Linked DNA regions of Yarrowia lipolytica. The protein of the gene in region 1 interacts with the protein of each later gene in a biochemical or structural test. Links are inferred from orthologs where the notes say so. Each region holds a gene or a part of one and is shown on either strand. Other genes may lie near its edges.

Evidence for each region.
Region 2: the proteins of YALI1_C30130g (region 1) and YALI1_A08502g are reported together in a solved structure, tested with the Saccharomyces cerevisiae proteins (2 studies listed by BioGRID, with this or other methods). The link is inferred for Yarrowia lipolytica from reciprocal best matches to the Saccharomyces cerevisiae genes SAR1 and SEC12.

Annotation. Positions count from the first base shown.
Region 1 is NC_090772.1:3,011,525-3,014,748, reverse strand, and holds YALI1_C30130g (uncharacterized protein), read right to left. Parts: upstream 1,685-3,224; coding exon 1,666-1,684; intron 1,194-1,665; coding exon 640-1,193; downstream 1-639. Other genes in the region: YALI1_C30119g (uncharacterized protein), read left to right, coding at 2,753-3,224. UniProt on the Saccharomyces cerevisiae protein: Small GTPase component of the coat protein complex II (COPII) which promotes the formation of transport vesicles from the endoplasmic reticulum (ER).
Region 2 is NC_090770.1:848,686-852,466, forward strand, and holds YALI1_A08502g (uncharacterized protein), read right to left. Parts: upstream 1,817-3,781; coding exon 1,697-1,816; intron 1,534-1,696; coding exon 565-1,533; downstream 1-564. Other genes in the region: YALI1_A08486g (uncharacterized protein), read left to right, coding at 1-352; YALI1_A08512g (uncharacterized protein), read left to right, coding at 2,520-3,452.

The sequences.
Region 1 (3,224 bases):
AAAGTGGGTAGATGTGAGAGCTTGAAAAGTGATACTTGGATACTGTACGTATGTCCATACTGTAATGCTTCTAATGTGAGCTCCTTTGGAGAGACCCCATGATTATAATTTCTTCTTCTGTCTCACTATTAATGAAATGATCTACCACACAACTTCCAGAGATCCCTGTCTGTGACCCCCACACAGCTCTCATGAACGAATGTACAGTTCAAGACACACACTAGACAGTTCAAGACAGACACAAGACTGGCAAATGACAGCTCAGGACAGACGAATGATGGTTCTAGACATACAAGTGCAAATACTCTTAGCTATGGTCTCAGCTCATGTGAGACCTTGTTCATTCGTATCTGTGAGACATCTTGAAGTGTGTTAGCCGTGATAACAGAATAGCACTTTTCGACGACGACTGATTGTATCATACAAATGACTGACTCATCGATTGGTACTATGTGAACTAAACCATTGAAGGTACCAGTGGTTGAAAGGATGGCAGGGCGACTACAGATGTAGATGGCCCAACCCGATGCTTGTACTTGAAATACCCAAACTACGTAGGAACAAGTATGTAGCCGTTCGCAGGTCCATGTGGAATCACGGCTTTGCTCATCACAATCAGAATACAATAATTTATTCCCTCTAAACATACTGAGACAGCCATCGAATACCGTCTCCGTAGCCCTGCCGCATGACAATGGAGCACATGAAAATCTCGATGGGTCGGATGTTGCCTTCAAGAGGCACCTTGCCCTTACCGGTGGTCTGGTACAGTCCAAGGGCGTCCTTGAGCTCGAGCTCGGAAACGGCCTGGGGCATGTCGATCTTGTTTCCAAGAATCAAGAAGGGCACAGTCTTGAGCTGCTCAATGGCAAGCAGAGAGTCGAGCTCGGCCTTGGACTCGGCGAATCGAGTAGGGTCGGCGGCATCGACGAGGAAAACAATGCCGTTGACCTCGGGAAAGTAGTCCTTCCACACTCGTCGGGCCTGGATATGTCCACCGAGATCAAAGGTTGTGAATTTACAGTTGCCGATGGACAACTCCTCGGAGGTGGGGTGCACGGTGGGGTTAGAGACGGCCATTCGGTCGTTCTTGAGCATGTGCAGCAGGGTGGTCTTTCCGGCGTTATCGAGACCGAGGAAGAGCAGCTTGGCGTTCTTGTTCCATAGTCCGAGAGAGGACAGAACGTCGTAGACTAGGTTAGCAAAAGGGGGGCAAATCAAAAAGCGAGTGAAGCGAAATTGAGCGGCGATACGATAGCAGACTTGCTGTTTAAGCAGTACAATAACGGCACAGAGAGTTTGCTTGTGTTGAATACCACCGTATGACTGTTTAGGGTATAACAGCAGAGCAACCGTGTATCTTCAGGGGGTTGAGCAACCCTGAACGGCATCAAACCGCAACTTGATGAATGCAACAGGGGCAAAAAACGGCATCGGTACCTGTTTTTGAGTCTCTGGAACAGCCCTAAGTCGCCAGTCTCTGTTAACTGTGTTTTCACCTCCGGGATTTCAAGTCACGAAGCCCCCGTGTCGCTGTAGAGCTTGTCGTGTATCGTGTATCGCCACTTGATCTGATTTCTTTTTTTCCGCTAGCCTCCGCGTCTGTGTAACAAGTACACAAACACAAGCGACCAATCAGTGCCCCTGTATTCCATCCATACTCACACCAGTTGACAATCCACATGATTAGTAGTTGAAGAAGTAGGACAACGTGTGATGATAAGTTGGTGAGTGAGGTGGAATGTAGCAAAAAGGTTAAGCCGGCGGCTTCACGTGCATCCGACTGAGTCCAGGGTGGGGCTGACGCTTTGGTACTGGTATAGGAGGTGTTTGGGAGCAATAGAAGGTGCTGCAAAAGAGTATATATACTGTCCGTTTTTCCTCACATACAATTCTCTTCCTTTTTATCTCCACGCTTATCCTCTACAATCTCCCGTCATTGTGCAATCTCCTACCGATATGAATTTTGGCTGACACGTAAAACGGAAGCCAAAATCGTGCAGCACCAAGGTAAAAACCGTGGTCCTTTGGGGGTGTTGGGACATTACGTGTACATATTGTGGTGTGAGATCAATAGGCGAGCACGAGTACACTGTACATCAGGTGTGTGTGTAGACGTAATTGGTGCCAAAAGTTGTGGGACTTGGAAGTATTTATCTTGAGAGAGAACTGGAACATTCAGAGCAAGCTTCCTATTGTCCATTTATCATCTCTATTATACAATATTGTGTCCCCCGGAGATGTTTCTTTGAGCAGAGCATTTCCCAGCGCCATCACTCCTCCTACTTACCCTACCGAACACTACAAGTACACGTATGAAACTCTCTATTGCACTCTGCGTAGCACTACACCATGAAGCTCGAAATCAAGGTGAGTAATTGAGCGATTCACGCGGCCATGACGACGACTAACACAGCGACACTCGCAGACTCGTTCTGACCGAGTCAAGGGAATCGATTTCCACCCCACTGAGCCATGGTTACTCACCACTCTGTACTCGGGAGTGGCCCAGATCTGGAACTACGAGACACAGACGGTGGTCAAGAGCATCGAGGTGGCAGATGTTCCTCTTCGAGCCGGTCGGTTCATTGCCCGAAAAAACTGGATCATTGTTGGCTCCGACGACTTTATTGTGCGAGTCTTCAACTACAACACTGGAGCCAAGGAGGCCCAGTTTGAGGCCCACCCCGACTACATCCGTGTCATCACCGTTCATCCCACCCTGCCCTACGTGCTGACCGCCGGCGACGACATGTCCATCCGGCTGTGGAACTGGGACACAAACTGGACCATGGAGCGACAGTACCTGGGCCACAGCCACTACATCATGTACGTGGCCTTCAACCCCAAGGACACAAACACATTTGCCTCCGCATGTCTGGATCGAACCGTCAAGGTGTGGTCTCTGTCGGGCGCCTCCACCGTGTCGCGGCCCAACTTCACCCTCGAGGCCCATGCCACCGCCGGCGTCAACTTCGTCGAATACTATCCCGGTGCTGACAAGCCCTACCTCATCACATCTTCGGACGATAAGACCGTCAAGGTGTGGGACTACCAGACCAAGGCCTGCGTCGCCACCATGGAGGGCCACACTAACAACGTGTCCTTCGCTGTCTTCCATCCCGATCTGCCCGTCATCATCTCTGGTGCCGAGGACAATACCGTCAAGGTGTGGAACGCTAACACCTACCAGCTCGAGCAGACCCTCAACTACAGCTATGAGC
Region 2 (3,781 bases), on another chromosome or scaffold:
AGCCAGATACACCGACAGATATCCTTCAACACATCCAGTGTTTCAAGGCACAGCAAAGCGAGCCACCAGAACCATGTCTGGCTTCGCTAAACACACGTCAATGAGAAAAGCGATTGCCCAAAACCAGCTCAAGATGCAGGTTCAGACCCAGGACTTTGGAATTGCTGTAATCCGGAACGTGCGAGTTCATCAGACCCAGGACACTGTCATGTCCAAGACCCGCGACTTTCTCGTCTGGTTCGACGAAGTGTGGGAGGGAGCAGACAAGTGGAGGTTCGATGATAACTGGAAGGAGTTTGACGACTCTTGGGGCCAGTACACGGAGCACCGTCTTCTCCTTCGTGTGAGGTGAGGACTGGGGCATGTCATAACATGATCCCTTTAGCTACATTTGACTACAGCTTTGATATTAACGGGCAGGTGATACATAACTAATGAACAAAATAGAAAGAAACTGTTTTCAGAGCTGTACAAGTGCTTATTGAACTGGAGCAGTAGTAATCGTAATAGTCTGGGCTGGTCAATCACATAAATACAATTCTTACTTATACTAGATCTGCAACACTACCACTGACGGGTTCCAACAATCTTCTGGTAAGCAATGGCCACAAACAGGATGAGAATGGTCAGAATGATAATGTCAAACAGCTTGTTGCCTCCAAAGTTGCCATCGGCAGGGATATCAATGACTCCGAGAGTGTTGGAAGCAGACACAGAGACAGCCATGGTCTCATCCTCGTTAAGAGCAACTCGGGTGATGGCAAACTCATGGGCCTCTTTGTACTGTTTGAGCAGACGCAGGTTGTCGGCGGAGAAAATGGATAGACTGAGGTCCTGGTGAGCAGTGAAGATGTACTTGTCGTGGCAGGCCAGAGCAGTCACCTTCTTGAGGTTCTTGTACGAGCTGAATGACACCTCTTCGAACTTGTCTCCGTGCATCTTGACCAGCTTGATACCATCCTTGGCTCCCACAGCAATAGCAGCAACCACCGCCGAGGACTTGAGGAAGGCAGCCCGGGAGAAGGTCTCGCCCTTGATAGACTCCGAGTTGAAAATGTGCTTTCCGTCGGCCGAGTTGGCTACAACAAGAGTCTTGTCCGTCACGTAGACAAACTTGGACTCGTCCAGAGACAGAGACATGCCGTTGATCTCACTCTCGGTCTTCTCCTGGAAGTTGACTGCGTGATCCTTGACATCAATGGAGTAGATGTATCCAGGAGCCGTGGAGTTGCTGAGAATCACAGACTTGTGCTTGGGCACAGCCAGCGCCCCCTTCTGGTAGTCGAGAATGCCAACGTCTTCAAAGACTTGTGAGGACTTGGTTTCGCTCCATTTCTCCTTGTCGTCCGAGAGCGAGAAGAGTCGCAGATGCTGGTTCTTGCCGCTCTTGAGAGTTTCACTGTTGCTGTTTACACCGGCGTAAATGGTGTTCTTGTCGAAAATTGCTAAGCTCGTGGGATTGTCTTCTTTTTTCGACAGCTCAATCTCGGAGATCTTCTTGGGCATGTCGGGTCCCTTGATCTTGACGATGCTCTGAGTTAGTGTGTTCCACGTAACCAGTGACCAATCACATGAATCACATGAATTGGTTACGGCACAGAATGCCACATTGAGCAAAGTTTGTCCACTTTGTTTGTGTCTGTTTCCAACCCGCCAGAAGCATGCCTGCCACCACGGTTCAACCACTGATACTCACCAGCTTGTTGGGGATGCCGTGGTTTCCCTCTCCGCCGCCTCCGCCGACGATCACGTGATCCTTGTCGAGAAATTCGGCCACAAATAGTGGATAGTCGAGCTCCAATCCTCTCAGTGACATTGTGTGTATGGGTGGTTTGCTGCTGGTGATGTTCGGAGCTACGAGTACGTGTTGCGCGCGTTGATTAATTTAGCTCATGCATGAAGTTCTTTAATGGAGAGAGAGGTAGAAGTCGGAATAAAATAGAAAAAAAAGCGGAAAAAAAAATTCAGATTTATTCGCATTAATTCGGGTGATTGTTGAAATATATATAACCCGCCAAATCCCGTCCCTGTAAAATTCTCACCTTCTGAATGAGCCAATGTTGAGTCCTTTCATCGAAACACCCAATTATGTCGTTTGCATAAGCGAGGCGTTGGATGTGAAATAATTGTAAGATCGCACAGAATAATTAGTTTGCTGAAGTTGATGTCCATCTGGTCAACTGGGGCATTTTTTCATAGCTCATCATTAACAGTTTCTTTTATCTACGAGCTCATGTAGTTTTTGTTTCGTGCAAACTGTAGAAACTACCGCGAGAGAAGCACATTGCATCATCCATTGTGGGATTACTTGACAAATGTATAATTTGTTGAACATTTTGTTTACTTCTTAAACATTCACTTAGAGAGTTTATCTCCACTTCCACTAAACCAACCCCTACTACTTACCTCATCTTCTCCCAGGCAGACAAAGTTCGGCATGAAGGAGAGTGTATCTCTCCCGATAAGCGCCTACTTGTAGACTGATCTCCCCATCCCACTTTTACACAACACAGACACCAATGAAACACCTGCTTGCGATCCAGTCCCACGTAGTCCATGGCTACGTGGGCAACAAGGCAGCTACCTTCCCTCTCCAGTGCTTGGGCTGGGAGGTGGATGCTCTCAACACGGTGCATTTTTCAAACAACACGGGATACGGCACGGTCAAGGGCACCAAGGCGTCTGCTCAGGAGATTCTCGACGTCTACGAAGGCCTCAAACTTGCAGGGCTGTCGTATGAGTTTCTGCTGACCGGCTACGTTCCTGGAGAGGAAGGAGTGGAGGCAGTGGGAAAGGTGGGAGAAGATCTCAAAACCAACAACCCTTCGTTGATCTGGCTGCTGGATCCGGTTCTGGGCGACGCCGGACGAATGTACGTGTCGGAAAAGACCATTCCTGTGTATCAGGATATTCTGAAGAGTGGCAAGGTGACGTTGGTGACCCCCAACCAGTTTGAAGCAGAACTGCTCACAGGAATCAAGATCACAGACCGAGAAACGCTCAAGCAGGCGCTGACAGCCTTCCATACTACCTATAAGACACCTTACGTGGCCATTTCGTCTCTGTCCTTTTCCGATAACGACAATATCCTCTACTCGGCAGGATCTACGCTGGACAAAGATGGATCGACCTCAACATACATTTACGAGTTCAACAAGATCAACTCATACTTCACCGGCACTGGCGATATATTTGCAGCTCTGCTTTCCGACAGATTCTACACCTATCACACTCTCAAGCCAGTTCCTGACCCACTGTCTGTGGCTGTGGGAGAAGTGCTGGGAGTGGTTCAGCAGATTCTCAAGATAACCGATGAAAGCGCTCGAAAGTCGGGTATAAAGAGAGGCGAGATTGGCAACGCCGAGAGCATGAAGCAGTGTGAGCTGCGAATCATCGAGTGCAAGGATATTTTCGGTGATGCCACCGTCCCTTACAAGGCCCAGACCATTTAACCCCATATAGATGCTACAATAGATGTATTATTAGTAGTCCCGACGAGTGTATCGACACGAAAGGGTACAGACAAGCTGACGAGAGTGATCTCTGTTGACTTTTATATTGCTTCGCCAACTTTGAGGACACCCATTCACTGGAAACTCCACCATCTCTATTGATTGTCACGAGCCAGATACACGCAGGTACAACTGACGACAGTCTGACTACGGTCCTTGGATCTGCACGCCAGCCATTTCAAACCATTGTTTGCAGCAGAAACCCCGTCGGCTTCTCTGATTACACTACCCCCTTTGGTCTTACCTATAGGGCGCCTCTCCACAGCACG